5 linked regions of the Xenopus tropicalis genome follow. The main gene of each other region encodes a partner of the protein of the gene in region 4 in a complex. Links are inferred from orthologs where the notes say so. Each region holds a gene or a part of one and is shown on either strand. Other genes may lie near its edges. The genes, in order: zmat2, ik, sf3b3, mfap1 and smu1.

Evidence for each region.
Region 1: mfap1 (region 4) and zmat2 share a complex: the UniProt entries of both Homo sapiens proteins name them as parts of the spliceosome B complex. The link is inferred for Xenopus tropicalis from reciprocal best matches to the Homo sapiens genes MFAP1 and ZMAT2.
Region 2: mfap1 (region 4) and ik share a complex: the UniProt entries of both Homo sapiens proteins name them as parts of the spliceosome B complex. The link is inferred for Xenopus tropicalis from reciprocal best matches to the Homo sapiens genes MFAP1 and IK.
Region 3: mfap1 (region 4) and sf3b3 share a complex: the UniProt entries of both Homo sapiens proteins name them as parts of the spliceosome B complex. The link is inferred for Xenopus tropicalis from reciprocal best matches to the Homo sapiens genes MFAP1 and SF3B3.
Region 5: mfap1 (region 4) and smu1 share a complex: the UniProt entries of both Homo sapiens proteins name them as parts of the spliceosome B complex. The link is inferred for Xenopus tropicalis from reciprocal best matches to the Homo sapiens genes MFAP1 and SMU1.

Annotation. Positions count from the first base shown.
Region 1 is NC_030679.2:26,873,153-26,876,674, reverse strand, and holds part of zmat2 (zinc finger matrin-type protein 2), read right to left. Parts: intron 2,306-3,522; coding exon 2,182-2,305; intron 1-2,181. UniProt on the Homo sapiens protein: Involved in pre-mRNA splicing as a component of the spliceosome.
Region 2 is NC_030679.2:22,991,299-22,994,820, reverse strand, and holds part of ik (protein Red), read right to left. Parts: intron 1,644-3,522; coding exon 1,555-1,643; intron 870-1,554; coding exon 761-869; intron 86-760; coding exon 51-85; intron 1-50. UniProt on the Homo sapiens protein: Involved in pre-mRNA splicing as a component of the spliceosome. Auxiliary spliceosomal protein that regulates selection of alternative splice sites in a small set of target pre-mRNA species. Required for normal mitotic cell cycle progression.
Region 3 is NC_030680.2:75,062,895-75,066,416, reverse strand, and holds part of sf3b3 (splicing factor 3B subunit 3), read right to left. Parts: intron 2,835-3,522; coding exon 2,622-2,834; intron 851-2,621; coding exon 752-850; intron 677-751; coding exon 533-676; intron 1-532. UniProt on the Homo sapiens protein: Component of the 17S U2 SnRNP complex of the spliceosome, a large ribonucleoprotein complex that removes introns from transcribed pre-mRNAs.
Region 4 is NC_030679.2:107,681,152-107,684,049, forward strand, and holds the end of mfap1 (microfibrillar-associated protein 1), read right to left. Parts: intron 2,610-2,898; coding exon 2,501-2,609; intron 2,427-2,500; coding exon 2,266-2,426; intron 2,102-2,265; coding exon 1,942-2,101; intron 1,713-1,941; coding exon 1,623-1,712; intron 1,014-1,622; coding exon 834-1,013; 3' UTR 504-833; downstream 1-503. UniProt on the Homo sapiens protein: Involved in pre-mRNA splicing as a component of the spliceosome.
Region 5 is NC_030677.2:94,423,661-94,427,182, reverse strand, and holds part of smu1 (WD40 repeat-containing protein SMU1), read right to left. Parts: coding exon 3,397-3,522; intron 220-3,396; coding exon 67-219; intron 1-66. UniProt on the Homo sapiens protein: Involved in pre-mRNA splicing as a component of the spliceosome. Regulates alternative splicing of the HSPG2 pre-mRNA. Required for normal accumulation of IK.

The sequences.
Region 1 (3,522 bases), about 81 Mb from region 4:
CCAGTTTTGAACCAGAGTTGTTGCTCTAAATTTTTTTTAAATATATGCACTGTAATGGAGTCAACTGTAGAGTCAAGCACCAGGTTTTAAAGACCAACTATGCAGCGCACACAAGCCTTGAGCAGTCTAATCCACATTCTACACAAACAAAAATTTTATTGTATTCTAGAGGCCATGACTAAAATTGGGGCTCTCCAATGCAAGGGTTTACGGACTTAACAAGCTTAAGCTTCCGATTTCTATTTATTTCCATTTTAGAGTCATTTAAAAGGATTTTACTAGAGGAATGCAAATTATTGAGCACAAGCCTGCATAAGGCTTGTCAAAACTCTGTGGCTGACACAATCGATATTTAATGATACGGTACATAATAAACAATCAATCTATAACGGCTGTCCAACAGAGGCCCATAAATCAACAGAAATGTCATGGAACAAGCCATTACATTGGTTTTATAGCACATACATTGCTGTTCATTTATGGGATCTTCAATATAAGGCAATTTCTATATAAAGGGATAAGCCCAGACGATTTCACAATGTGCAGCGAGATCCATAAAAGGGATTTTTTCCGATTATCAGTTCTTTCCCATGTATTTACTTCTGTAGATAGTAAGTGGTACTTAGATTAACGAGCATAGAATGTTCTATTACCATTTACTGCACTTTTAGTGCAGTTCTTACAGCAAAATTCTTAAAAATCTGCAGAATATCCACCGTACAACAATGCAAGGGGCACTCCTCCTCACTTCCTCCCATAGCAGTTTTTTGCATACTAATAAATCTCTAAGGAGCAAGAGCAGGAGGCAGTGCATGGTTAGAGCACCACAAATTAATAGTAATTTCCATGCCATAACAACAGTACATTGTTAAGTAAACTGAAAGAGAGAACACCAATACTCTCACAGCACAGACACCTTCTCAGTTGTTTCCCCCTACCCACCCCAAGAGAGAAAAAGTGGATTCCATTGTACCAGAGAATTATAAGGGTCTGAGGCACCACAGAGAAGGTATCCGACATGAGAATACTGATGTGACCACATTACCTAACAAGTGTAGTCTATGTTGCTCTTACTTTGTGCAGCCCTATCTATCTTCTTCTACCTATCTTCTTGTTTCTTTGAGAATTATTGATACAGGAGATATCGCTGATAAAGATTTCTGAGGTTTTGCCTTATTGACCTGTGGGTATAAGAAGTGTACCAAAATGTGTAGTAGTGGTCACATAGCCATAAGAGCTTTGCTTTGATTAAATATTGGTGTGAGACATTTACAATTGGGTATTCTTTTAAGCAATGTACCAGATTTCAGATGAACAGAGCAACATACACACTCATAGATATTGTAGCTCTCTGTGTCTACGGAGAACGCCTTAGGTGAAGCAAGTAATATTTCCCATTTATTTAGGCCATACACAGGGTACTTGGCATACCAGTGGCCAACACAGCTAAAACACATAATATTAAATAAAAAGCACACAGAGTAACAAAAATGGAGCAGTGAAAGTCCACCTTTATGGCACTTCTACTTATGCATCAGTAGCAGCAGTAACGGTAAGAACCCACGGTTAATCGTCCGCAATAAATCGCTGCTATCTAGGGCGACTAACTAACTCAGAAAAGGCTTTCCACCAGCAACTTCTATTGTTGCTGCTGGAAAGCCCTTTGCATTGCTTTGTTTTTCGAAGTCGCCTGCAGGAGGAAACTTAGTGCAACTTCGGATTACCAAAGCAATGCAAAGGGCTTTCAGCTGGCGGAAAGCCTTTTCGGAGTGGTTAGTTGCCGATGTTAGCAGAGATCTATCATGGAAGACGAACTCGCTCCATGTGTTCTTACCCTAAAGAGTGACTGAAGTTCATCATCAGAGCACAAATCACAAGGGGGCACTAGGGAAAGTAAAAACATGTCTAGCCTCACATCACTTGTTGATATGCTGCTGGGGGGGGGTATAATATAATATCATTCCAACTCACATTGCATCAGTAAAAAGAAACTGAAAGTTTATTAAAGCACAAGCATAGGTATAGGAGTGCGCATGAGTAGCTCTATAAACTGGTGCATTTGTTGACTCCAACTCTCCATCACCACAAATGAGACATAACCTGGTTGTACCTCAACTTTTAAATGGTGATTACATTTATAGTTGAGTCAACATTGTCCTTAGCACATTATATGCTACTTACCCTCCCATTTCAGACTGTGGAGTGGTCTTTGTAATGACAATGGTCTTTCCCAGCTTGGACTCCAGATCCACCTTATAGTCTCTGTGTCGGAGTAATTCCCTCTTAATGGGCTGTAAAGGTTTGCCTAGAACACAATATATGTGCATTTATTGATGTGGATAATTTACACTGCATAAATGAAATTTGCTTATTTTCTACACAAATCCATTGAGCTATTAACCTGTTAAGAATCATGTGCAAAGATCCGAGCCAGCCCTATTTTATCTTATTGGTATTCTATTTATTGTGTGGAAATTCAGTTCAGAGCTGTTTGATTTAATACTGTATGTCTTCTCTCTGCAGGCCGTGGGCACTGCCATGTACAAGACTGCCACTCATACAATACTTGTTGTTTTGCTTTAAATTTTCCTTAGAGCACGGACAGATAAGGCAAATAATCGCCTGCAGGAAATCTTCTCTCCACAGGTAACAAAGCTCCCAAAAATACCTGGCAATTCAAGTTGCAGAGGGGCAGGTATTTTCAGGCACTTCAGGAGAAGAGATTTCTCAGACAGTAAAGCACCCCATCTGTCATAGGCCTTATAGGCTTTTTTTGCGGTCAAAGCTTTGATAGGCTAGACATTTTATGAAATCAAATGATCTCCTGGAGACCAATAAAATGCAAAGCATAGTAGTACAGCTCTAAATGGATCCTAACTGCTTGTGGTTAAGTACCCATTATAGCAAACAGATGCTTATGTTTATCAAAGATTAAAAGGACGTCGGAATACCAGGGATATACAACCTGAAGCCCTTGTTAAACTACAAATCTTAGCACTGCTGACATGATAATTTATATGACACCAATTAAATCCCTTTTTCTCTGATGGATTTTAAGTTAACTTTTAGTATGTATGATACAGTTTCAGCGACGTTTCATTTGGTCTTCATTTTTTTTTTAATATTTGCTTTCCTCTTCTGACCCTTTATAGCTTTTAAATGGGGGTCACTTAGCCCAGCAGCCAAAAAAATATTGCTCTTTGAGGCTAGTTTCACGGTTAGCGTTACTTTTTATTACATACCTTTCTATCCAGACCCTCTCCTATTTGTATCCCAGCTTCTCATTTGAACAACTGCCTGGTTTCTAGGGTTATTTGGACCCTAGAAACCATATAGCTGCTAGAATTTGAAACTGGAGAGTTGCTGGATATAAAGCTAAATAATTACAAAAACTACAAATAAAAAATGAAGACCAGATGCAGATTGTTTCAGAGTAGCACTCTCTACTACATTCTAAAAAGGTGAACAACCCCTTTAAGTATTTACCGCTAAGGGCCAGGCAGATAAGGCCAGGTGCATACA
Region 2 (3,522 bases), about 85 Mb from region 4:
CAGAAGCAAATACAACAAGATGGCCACAGATATAATTATGCTTTTCTTACCCATCCGCCTCAAGTTTCTTCCGTTTTTCAATAATCTGGAAAGTAAAAACAGTAGTTATTAGATATCTGGTACTTCAATATCACCCATATTAGCTTACAGTACAAAGGGATTGTTTCATTAAACATATAATAAGTTAAAACAGGTTAAAAGAAAATTATTTTTTTACATTAAAACTGTGTTAAAGGGGTGGTTCACCTTTATGCTAACTTTTAGTTTGTTATGGAATGGAAAATTCTAAGCAACTTTTTAATTGATCTTCAATATGGTTTAAGTAGGCATAGTGACACTTTCCTGTAGTCAGAGAAACAGAATCCCCTTACATCCATCATTTCAAAAACTGAGCTTGAGTCTCTATAAACTTTATCTCTTTGGCTGAATACATAGTAACATAGGCTGGAAAAAGACACACACCCATCGAGTTCAACCTTTTTGTCAGAAACTTGCCTGACTGCTAGTTGATTGAGAGAAATAATCTTCTGAGGGAGAAAAATCCCTTCCTTGCTCCAAGATGGCAATTAGACCTATCAGAGAAGCCAAACTAACCAATAGTCACAAGGCAGGACAACTAACCACCAGGTCAGCAAGAAGTTTGGCCCAATACTTTGTATCCCTTACACACAAGAGGAATGAATGCCCCACTGGGGAATACAATAATTACAAATGGAAGAAGAGACTGGAAATTAAAAACAGAAAGACGTCTGACACTTACTGCACTAATTTTTTTCCACTGTCTGTCCAGCTCGGCCTTCTCGTTAGTCTCTTTGAAGCGCCGTGTTTTACGCCCTTCGGACATTTTAATGCCGTACTGGAAAGCAGCCCTGTAAAGAAAGAAACACTCATACTATAAAATGACTGCGTACAGAATGGACAAGGGAAAGGTTTCACAATTCTTTACATGCAGGGTTTTTATGCACATCGTACGTGTGCATAATAATAGTAACATCCTAAACTTCACTGAGTACAGCTACTTGATCCCAACTAAGACATAATTAATCCTTGCTGGTGGCAAAACAATTCTATTGGGTTTTTTAATGTTTAAATTATTATTTAGTAGACTTGAGGTCTGGAGATCCAAATTATGGAAAGACCCCCCCTGGAAAACCCCAGGTACCAAGCATTCTGTATAACAGGCCCAATACCTGTATCAGGGGTTAGGCTTTAAAAACTAGTAGGTCACATCTGCACAGGCCTGTGTTAGGATCTGAATGTTAACCCAGGGGCCAAAGAATTCTATCAACTATGTCCCAGCACTTGTGTGGCCAAATTGAACATTTGTTAGTTTGGTGATGTTTTAAAACATATGAATATATTAATATTCAATATAATAACTAAATGGTTCTAAAGGTGTACAAATCACAAACATAGAGATAAGTCTTCCTGTGAGTAACCTACAACAGGCTTTGCTGAAATAAAATAAAGAAATAAACCAAATACTACTATGCATTCTAATATAATCCTTATAAACAGAGCATTTCTTAGGCATGCAATCAAAATACAACTCACTTGGGTAATGCTTCTTTGTTGTTCATATACTCGCTGTATTCTTCCTGTGTATCAAAGTCCCATCGGCCTAAGGGGCCCTTTTTGTTACCCTAAAGTGAAGATTGTCATACAAATAAATCAGGCTGTAACCGCAAAAACAAGCTATAATTGAGAGACGTCACATATATGTTATGTAAGAGAATACCTCCCAAAATCACAATTGTGATCTGTTTTGTGACTATGTTGGGATACGAAAGATGCAGATGGTAATATCTGTGGTTGGAGGGATAGCACTTAGATGTATATATTTTCAATAAATTTTTGATAAAACATTGAAGGGTGTGCTGGCCACGGATGATTATTTTCTATAATATATATTATATATATATATAATATATATATATATAAACTGCATGACTAATCTATTGTGGAACTACAACTCACACATACAGCTGCACAGAGGGTACATTTCCCCACGTGGGGTCCCAGTGGCACTGTACAAATATTAATGGCTTCCCTTACTGTTGTATGGGGCATTTCTAATGATATATTCATCATATGACTATAATCTTGATCTAATTGCTTTTAAAACATTCCTGCATATTGTCTAAGAGTTACAATTGGGGCTTGGTGGGGGTTGGTAGGCAGCTGTATACAGAGTAAATGTGAGTAAATTTAAAGGTCATGAGAGTTAGAGATGTTTGTACTGTCTTTTCTCTGCCTCCTGACAAAAGTCCCTGTGGGGGACTGAAACGTTGAGGTCTGTAATGTTCCTTTTTCATATTTTGTAATAAAATGTATCTTTTTTTCAAATATTTTAAATCCTGTGAGTGCTGACACTTTTTTGTCTTATATATATTATTCTATATATATTATATTAATATATATATATATATATTCTGCTTGTAGACAGGCACTCAAGTCATAGAGCAATAGCCATGCCTGGGTGCAGTCCCCAAAAGTTTAGGAATAATAGCAAATGGAAATGTCCCGCACTCACAGGTCTTATGTAAAGCATAAGGTGTTTATTAAATCAACATCTAACGTTTCGGCTGCTGCCGCAGCCTCTCTCAATTTCCATTTGCTATATATTATATATTATATATATATATATATATATATATATATATATATATATATATATATATATATATATATATATATATATATATATATATATATATATATATATATATATTGTATTTATATATATATATATATATTGTATTTATTTATTATATCACTTTATCACTTGTCCTCCCTGTGTGCAATTTTGTATTCTGCAAGATTGTACAGCGCTGCGTACCCTTGTGGCACTTTATAAATAAAGTTATACATACATACATAGCACAGCCAATACACTCTTTTAGGCAACTTTACACTAATAAATATATGCCGCCTCCCATAAAGCTGAGGGCACGCTCCTGGAACAGCACCGATATTTCCACATCAAGGAAACATCAGAATTCAATTTAAATTTTATTTGATAGCTTTATGGAAATAAACAATAAAATGGTACAGTTTTTCAAATGCCAAAAACATAACATCTCAACTACCTGTTCTGGAAAATGCGAAAACACAGGGTTTGCATGAATCTCACATTATAATACATATAGCTGCAAAACTGCACAAGTGCAGCTGCCAACAGAACCAGTCAAGTCTTTCCTTTCATTTTCCAGCTTGTAGCAGACTTTTATAAGCTAATTGCTAACTGGTTCCAAGTGGCAAATGCACTTTAACGAATGTAGGTGCTAAACCACTGTATTACTTTCTTAATGGATACAATCCCTAGTTCTAAGTACCAATCCTTACAGGGCCTCATTTTGTCTCAATATCCATATTCACAAGAATGTTCAGATGGCAATTTCCAACCCCAACCTTTTTCAGTATCCTGCAACTGTGCAACCTCAACCCCACAGCATGGCAACCTGGACTGGTAAAGGTGATCACAATGGTCCTCAAACTCACAATTTCAAACAGAAATAGATT
Region 3 (3,522 bases), on a different chromosome or scaffold from region 4:
AGTCCATACCTGTACCGATTGCTTGCATGCATGCTTAACAAAACAGGAAGGGCTAATGAGAAGATAGAGCTCTAAGTAAATATGAACAGTACAAATATTAAAATAATTTAATAATATTTTGCCTCTGCCTCCTCCAACTCAGAGATTGCATTTCATTTATTCATATTTAGAAAAGTGTTTTGTTTTTTTTTTCTTTACTCTGCACCTCTTCTACTCCCATAACTAATCTGAAAACGCTATCTTCAGTAAGCAGGATTAACAATGTAAACGGACCTGATTTCAGATAAACGGTAATGAACTGATCCTGAGTGTGCATGTAGAATTCCTGCCACATATATGAAAAACTTTCAGGAATGGGTCAGGAGTCAAAGCAAAATGCACATAGGTCTGGATGAAAATGAAATACACGTAATATGACTACAGTTGGCAGTCATATCCTTTGTACTTATTGTCTGGTTAGCAGTCTGTGTGGCAGTGGTGCAAGCCAATATTATGATATTTTTCTCTAACATGCAAAGAAATATACAGTTACCTCATGTGATGTGAATGGTACAAGGATACCAATGCCTCCTGATAAGGTAGTGTACACCAGGGATTCTGAGCCTCCTGGGATTAGTGTAGTCTTCTGTACTGAAAGAACAGTCTCTCCAACATGGTAATTTACAATTACTTCAGCCTGAAACAAAGAGCAATGATAAATAGGAGTCTAATGAAAACAGAAGCAAAGACTTTTACACTTTCAGAAACTTACCTTCTGAGATGCTCCATTCAGAAGACCTCTGTCCCATAATGCTTTGTTACCAGTAGGATCCTCATCAACATCATCATTAGTATTGGAAGGTAATCGAACCTAAGGAGAGTCAGCAATTTTAGACAACCAAGCTTTTGGTGTAAATAAAGCAACTGTGGCAACTGAGCAACAATACATTTACATATACACAGCACAAATGTTAGATTTACAGAGGAATTTTGTAACTAGAAGTATGCAAAACAAGCTACAGCTTACTGATGTATTATAAAAATTATAAATTATATAAAACATCAATATATATTTTATGATTCTTGGTTACATAGAAGCAGGACCCCAAGAGTCACCATGCCCTTTAGAGTGGGTTAACAATATACTATTTTATACAGCGACATTTTCATCTACAACTATACTATTACATTTAATACTAACAAAAAAAATGTTCAGATTAAAGGGGAACTATTGAAAAAATGAAACTAATATGAGCTGCATTAGTGCTGGGCGGTATACCGGTTTAACCGGTATACCGGTTTTTTTTAAAAAAAACGATATGGTTTTTAAACATACCGCTACACCGGTATGCGCGCCTCCTGCTATTTTTCTTCAATTATATCCGGGTTGCGCCCGTGCGCATGTGACGTCAGCGCGCACGCGACGTCGCTAGGACGCATTGCTGGAGGAACCACAAGTTGGGTAAGTTCTGCTGGGGGGTTGTGGTTGGAGTTGTGGTTGGAGTTGTGGGGGGGTTGTGGTTGGAGTTGTGGGGGGGGGTTGGGGGGCCCACCAATATTTATTATTTATTTTTTATTTATATACCGTCAAATACCGTGATACCGATATAATTTTGAAAAATACCGTGATATAAATTTTTGGTCATACCGCCCAGCTCTAAGCTGCATCTCATTTAAGTAAGAAACGGTTTAAATATAATCAATTAAAAACATGAGTTTATCAAATATCAAGTTACTCTCCAGTATCCCTTCAATCTTTCTCTATAAAAGCAGGAGCACAATTGTGATCGACAGTTCAGTCAAATAAATTGGTGTGTGCTCCTTTTGCCTAGAGTAGACAAAGTATTTGAGCCAAACAAGTCCGTCCCAGGTAGAGACAGATGCTGAGAGGGGGATGGCAAAAGGAAACCTGATTTTAGAAAAAGGACAGAACATATAATTACTGTATAAATAATTCTATTTCCATGAACTTGAGCTTATACAAAATTTTCCACAATGATTCCCCTAGAAGGGCATTTTGTGCAGTGAACCAATAGCTCAGACATAAGCTGGGTCCCATCTGACAAAAGGTTTAGACACTTTGACATGTTTTTTTTAACTTCTAGAAAACTGCAATTTGCTTTACATAGAGAATGACAGTTGCATTAGAACCATACCCAGGTGATGGCAGTGTAATTAAAATCATGATTGATTAAAATGTTACGGTCCTCTAATATTTGCAGTTACAGGTATGGGACCCGGTTATCTGGAATACCCTGGGTCCCGAGCATTCTGGATAAGGGAACTTTCCGTAAATTTTATATCTCTATAACTTAAGTCTGCTAAAATTCATTTAAATATTGAATAAACCCAATAGGCTTGTTTTTACTTAGTTGGGACCAAGTACAAGGTTCTGTTTTATTATTGCAGAGAAAAAGGAAACAATTTTTAAAAACTAGAATTATTTGCTTATAATGGAGTCTATGAGAGGTGGCCTTTCCGTAATTCAAAACTGGAATTTCGTAATTTGAACAGTTTTTCAGATAAGTGATCCCATACATTTACTAAAATACTGCCTTTTTGGTGATAAAGCATTTTGTACATGAAAGAAAGATTAACAGGTCAATAAAAGGGATCAGAATCAGGGTATTACTGAAACTTACTATGCAGATATTTCCAAACTTGTCTGCTCCAGCTACTGTATCATAGTCCAGGAGGCAGGAAGTTGTGACCCAGCGTGGGTATGTGTCATCCGCAAATATGATCAGCTGGTTTTCATTGCGCTTGTAACGAACCCATATGAAACTCTCCTGCACATCAGACAATATGACACGCTGCCCAATAGTTTGAATTCCCACAATAAAGTTTGAAATGTGCTATATAAAAAAAAAGCAAAAAAAAAAAAAAAAAAAAAAAACACTATTACAGATAAATCCTCTATTTTTCACCAAAAGTAAAGAGGATGATAGACGAGACAGATGATAAATCTACTTAATATTTAACCATCTTTATTAATGTGTTTCTGTGCTCTGATGATGTAAAACAGCATGACCCCCTCAAACAGTACCACAACCCAAGGCTCTCAAAAGCTTCTCTGGGATTGGGAGTACATAGATAAAAACTGGTTGTGTGTGGTACCCGGACAAAGTGCAAAGGTAAAAAGGATTATTTTTCTTGAGTTTCAAATAGTTTTTATCATTGATTACAAGCAAATGGTATAGCTGAATATCAAAGAGAGATACAAAGTTTATCTTTTACTAAATATAAATAGGGTTTTGTTGTAAGCCAACTAAAATGACAGTAGTATAAAATTAAGCTTATTCATACAATATGGTTATTGATTATTCAGCAGAATTCTCGTCTTTTTCAAAGAGATAGTTATAATACAATGCATTTAACAGTGCAAATGAAGCTACAGAGAAGTTGTATGTGGTACTCCTAAATAGAAAACTGCAATTTTAACAATTAAGGGCCGCCTCCTGGGATCATAGGATTCACAGAGCGCACAAACTGGTTAAATATTCAATCTGGGGGTATAGTTTTCCTTTAAACACTGCAAAAAGC
Region 4 (2,898 bases):
ACACTGAGACAGGGACTCATGATTGCTTTATATGTTACTCTGTGTGTCCAATGTATGAAACCCACTTATTGTACAGCACTGCAGAATATGTTGGCGTGTTTTAAATAAATGTTAAAAATAAATAATAATATTATTGACTATATGCCTGGGTGGAAAGATTTTCAAAATTTCAGATATTTTGCCCCAAAAAGTTTAACAGCAGATCTGTATATGACTGACCATGTAACTATAATGCATGAAGCCAACCCAAATTCACTTTTCATTATAAAACTACGTACCCAGGCAACTCTTTGTCACTTGTACTGTGCTTACTTTCCAGTCAGCAGATAGCATGTGGGACAATAAAAGGTCTTGCATAGACAGATACCTGTACATCAGACCAATCCACACAAGATGCTGAATGCTGGACATGAGAAAATGGACCAGTGGCTTTCATTACTGTACAAGCAAAACAATTATTTCACAGGATTGATAGAGGGGCATACAAAAATCGTTAGGAGATATGACAGAGTAACTTTTTTATTTACAAATATTATCAAATCTTGCCTCGGTTTCAGTGTTCCTGAATGTCAAAATGATTCTAACTAAAAAATACCTTTTATAACATTTTTGAAAAAACTGTGAAAATCTCTGTTTCTCCACAGCTTGGAGAATGCTTTGTGATTTGCTAATGACAAACCCAACAATTCATTCACACATTAAAAAAAAAAACATTACATTACTTGCAAATTATATATACAGAGTATGTGCAAGTAATGGTGGTCCTTGTTTATGAGCTGCAGTTCTTTTTATAACCCAGAAAATATGGACAAGTCCCTCATAGACACGGACATTTATGTCTTTCTTTTCTGCACAGTCGGCCTCTCAAACACATCCCTTACTCCTGCTGCCTTCTGTTTGAAGAACTTTGTGTTCTGTGGATTGTCCTGACCCCAAGCAGAGTCAAATGAAGTGGTGTCCTGATCAACCAAGTGAGTATATTTTGTCCGACCTGAACGTCCAAAATTCTTGACCTGAATAAAACAGATGATATCAATTTATGAACTGGATTGGAAAACCACAGATTAAAATCTTCCATGCTATGAACCCAACATAAATGGCATAAGTAAATTGTAGCCAGTGCAAATTAAGGACATGTTTAAGATATATTGGGCTATTGTGTGGGGACTAGCAGAGGATTTCACAGCTACTGGAAATGAAAATTTTGACAAAAAAGGACAGTTTAATATTTATAACCATTTTGCTCCATAATTTCCAGTTGACTAACATCTCCCAAGCAATTTTGTTTGCTTTATATATAGAATCACTAGAAAACAAACACTTCAGTTTCTTGCTTTTGGAAAAATATTCCATTGTATTTATGTAATGGAAACATTAAGGGGTGAATGCATAATGTTTTCCCTCCTGCATATATTTTATAACAGTGTTACTGATGGCTGGCAGTTTTAGACTTTGCTAACTCTTCATTGTTCACTACCACCTTCCTAATCACATCCAGTATCCCTCCTATACTGTGATAATACACATTTTTGTGTGGCCCAGTAAAACAGGGAATCAATCTAATACTTTAGAATTCAGGCAGAGCAAAAAAAAGTAAGAAACGGCAACATTCTTGCAATTACCTGCATGACCTTGGGCAATATAGTCTTATTAAAATGATCCTCCAAGGTGGGTGCACTGAAATCCCTTTTATATACATCTTCATCTCCATCCTATGGGGGGAAAAAAAAGACAAAGCTTTCTGTAAAATAAGCTTCTGTAAAATTCATCAAAATTTATCAAAATGTGAGAGTACCGAGCTCACCACAGAAAAATTCACCAATTTCCATAATATCAGATTTTTAGAAGCAAATTTATCAAATGGTGAATTCTAACATTTACTCTTTTAAAAATCCCACAGGAATGAATATAGAATGGGTAAATTAGTTAAATAGTTCTTACCATGAAGAATGCACCTCTGTGGTAATATTTTTGCAGAAATTTGTATTTCCCCTTCAGTGCCTTGTTGGTTATTATTTTGCCGTTTGCACGCAGCTCTGCCCGTCTTTCCTCATCTGTCATGTTACGCAGACGATCAACCTCTGCCTTTTCCTTCTCCATCCTGTTACATGACACATAAACAAAATAACATTTAACTTTAGGCACACAAGTCCAGGTAAACTGTGAAAGTTATCAGTATTATCCAAAGTGTAAAGAAACCATGGCAAGCAGTAAATGAGCCGTACAGTATGACTTTATCCATAGAGTCGGGATAGAAATACTTACGCCTCTCTTTCTTCTCGGTCTCGCTTGATGCGCTTTAACTCTCTTACTTTCCAGGCTTCATATTCCTCTTCATCATTCTCATCATCTGTGTTGAGGGCATCAAGGGCTGCCAGGGATCGCTTATTCTCTTCAATCTCCTTCTTTGTTTCCTCCTCTACAATCTGTACATGAAATATTGCAGTGAGGAAGCAGAAAGTTCTAACAAAACTACCACTGCATCAAGACAAATACTTACCTTCAAGGTGTATTTCCTTCTCTCCTCTGCCATTCGTTTTGTCTCTGCCTCCAGCTCCTTCTGTTTAAGCGCCTCAGCTTCTTTTTCCTGCACAGTAACTCTGTCTTTCCTGAAATGGTTACAGCAACATACTGTAAGCCCTTTGGTATTTAACATCAAGCAGAGAGCCATTTCATATATGGAAAATCACAGTTGCTATAATTTTAAATGTCCCAAATACATTAAAGATATTTTTTTTTCAGCCTGCAGCTGCATAATGCAGGTGGGTCACAAGAAAATAAGAGCAAAGATGCTGAGATAAAATGCAGGGGAGCAGGGGAGACTACCCCCTCCCAAAAAAAAAACAGATACTGCCCCTTTAATTTGTAACCTTGGAAACTGGGAGAACGTACATTACA
Region 5 (3,522 bases), on a different chromosome or scaffold from region 4:
ACTGCAGTGATGTCCTAATCACTGTTAAAATGTTAGGACTGTGGATTATGAATCAAAAATACATACCTCTCGTGGGTCAAAATATGATCTGGCCAGTAAGTTCTCAAGATGAATGTATCTTTCTGGTTGGTTCTGTTTTAACATTATCATAGGGTCTGTTTGCCTCAGGAGGGATCTAGCAGCTCCCAGCTCACGAAGTTCAATTAGTTCTAATACAACCTATAAAAAACAAAATCAATCATTATGCAAATATCATAATTATACAGCATTGTTAGCAGTATGCATTCATTTTGTTCAAATATGCCAAAAAAGGACACAATAACAATATGGAAGTCACTTAATTCAGCTATATTTCAGCACTTTTGTTTTCTACATTCAACAGGTTACTTATAGGAGAAAACACTATTTAGATGAGCTGAAGAGGAGGAGGTTAGGAGAAAAAACATGCTTCTATAGAAACCAGCAGTGGATCTCTTATTTCGCTTCTAGACTTGAGGGTGTGTTTATAATCTGAGTTGATAGAACTGTGCATGCTGAGTTAACGAAAGTCAATTCCTAATGGAAGGGGCCGAGCAATTAAGAGGAGGAGAAGGAATCCCAAGTGATTAATATAAAGCTGCAGCCTTACTATTAACCTTTGAACAACAGGAGTGGCAGGTATTTATAGATTTCAAAGAGGCTGTTCACTGAATATTTTTTTTTTGTGTGGGGGGTTTACATGTCCTTTAACTCCCGGTTATGAGTTTTTAAACAATGTTGCAAAAGCCAGTCTTCTCCAGCTGGCTTGTTTCACGTTGTTTCAACAGTCAGAGACACCAGGGCAGAAAATAGAAAAGGACAGACAAACACTGCTTTTAATTGCAGTAATTTATACAAATTACTTAAAAACCATTACAAATGTGTAATGAATGTACAGTGGTGTGAAAAACTATTTGCCCCCTTCCTGATTTCTTATTCTTTTGCATGTTTGTCACACAAAATGTTTCTGATCATCAAACACATTTAACTATTAGTCAAAGATAACACAAGTAAACACAAAATGCAGTTTTTAAATGAGGGTTTTTATTATTTAGGGAGGAAAAAAAATCCAAACCTACATGGCCCTGTGTGAAAAAGTAATTGCCCCCTGAACCTAATAACTGGTTGGGCCACCCTTAGCAGTAATATCTGCAATCAAGCGTTTGCGATAACTTGCAATGAGTCTTTTACAGCGCTCTGGAGGAATTTTGGCCCACTCATCTTTGCAGAATTGTTGTAATTCAGCTTTATTTGAGGGTTTTCTAGCATGAACCACCTTTTTAAGGTCATGCCACAACATCTCAATAGGATTCAGGTCAGGACTTTGACTAGGCCACTCCAAAGTCTTCATTTTGTTTTTCTTCAGCCACTCAGAGGTGGATTTGCGGGTGTGTTTTGGGTCATTGTCCTGCTGCAGCACCCAAGATCGCTTCAGCTTGAGTTGACGAACAGATGGCCGGACATTCTCCTTCAGGATTTTTTGGTAGACAGTAGAATTCATGGTTCCATCTATCACAGCAAGGCTTCCAGGTCCTGAAGCAGCAAAACAACCCCAGACCATCACACTACCACCACCATATTTTACTGTTGGTATGATGTTCTTTTTCTGAAATGCTGTGTTACTTTTACGCCAGATGTAACGGGACATGCACCTTCCAAAAAGTTCAACTTTTGTCTCGTCGGTCCACAAGGTATTTTCTCAAAAGTCTTGGCAATCATTGAGATGTTTTTTAGCAAAATTGAGACGAGCCATAATGTTCTTTTTGCTTAAAAGTGGTTTGCGCCTTGGAAATCTGCCATGCAGGCTGTTTTTGCCCAGTCTCTTTCTTATGGTAGAGTCGTGAACACTGACTTTAATTGAGGCAAGTGAGGCCTGCAGTTCTTTAGATGTTGTCCTGGGGTCTTTTGTGGCCTCTCGGATGAGTTGTCTCTGCGCTCTTGGGGTAATTTTGGTCGGCCGGCCACTCCTGGGAAGGTTCACCACTGTTCCATGTTTTTGCCATTTGTGGATAATGGCTCTCACTGTGGTTCGCTGGAGTCCCAAAGCTTTAGAAATGGCTTTATAACCTTTACCAGACTGATAGATCTCAATTACTTTTGTTCTCATTTGTTCCTGAATTTCTTTGGATCTTGGCATGATGTCTAGCTTTTGAGGTGCTTTTGGTCTACTTCTCTGTGTCAGGTAGCTCCTATTTAAATGATTTCTTGATTGAAACAGGTGTGGCAGTAATCAGGCCTGGGGGTGACTACAGAAATTGATATTGAAATTGAAAATTGAAATTGATAAACCACAGTTAAGTTATTTTTTAACAAGGGGGGCAATCACTTTTTCACGCAGGGCCATGTAGATTTGGAGTTTTTTTCTCCCTTAAGAACGTAAACCTTCATTTAAAAACTGCATTTTGTGTTCAATTATGTTATCTTTGACTAATAGTTAACGGTTTTTGATGAGCAGAAACATTTAAGTGTGACAAACATGCAAAAGAATAAGAAATCAGGAAGGGGGCAAATAGTTTTTCACACCACTGTATATTTCAAAGATGCTTAGAACTATGTTTTCTTTTATTACACCCTATGTCCTTTAAACAAATGCTGCTTCCAATAGCAATTACAAAGCACTTAAATTGTTTAATAAATTGGAATGTTAGAATTATGAGTTCTTTATAATTATTTTTTTTGGTTGATGTTTAGACACAAGTGATGAAGATATCCACATATTAACAAACACTGATTTATACAATAAAACTCTCAAGATTAAGGATGTTTTACTAACAGTTCCAAGCGCAGTCACGCTTTATTCCAACAGTGGGGCATCGTAGGGATGCCCCTTTGCTCAATTATAATGCAGCATCAAAAAGTACCAGTGTAAATATAATGATACAGCAAAAAAATTACCACTTTGGACTTAGTGCTGGCAGAGAGTCAGAATTATCTGTCCACATAAGCGAATTTATTTATCTGTGCTGTTAAGTGGATATCACTAAAAACTGCCTTATTTTTTGATATCAGCAAAGCAATAAGTACCACAGACATGTTTCCCAGTATAAAAACTGGATACCTGTGGTGAGACTGCTCTGCAATTAAAGCAATCAATAAAAAAAAAAAAATGTATATAATTTTCCATATCAATACTCACCAATTTGATAACACGCCAGGTGCTATTCCTAGAAAAAAAATACGGTAGAAAGAACTCACAGCAGCCATGTGTAGAAAAAGTAGTTACAAATCTTTATCACTCCACACTCAATGTTGAGGAATAAAGATTTAAAAATTTGTAACTGCTTTTTTTTTTTTTTTTTTTACACGACTGCCGTGAGTGCGTATAATATTTATATATATATATACACACACACACACACAATGTGATTTTCCCGATACCTGTTCATAGAGGTCGATGAGAGTCTTGTCTGGCAGTTTCAGTGACTGAATAGCTTGAAGTACAGTATCCCAATGGCCACTATTGATGTCAGCCACAAAGCTCTCAATACTATCCACAGTGTTCAA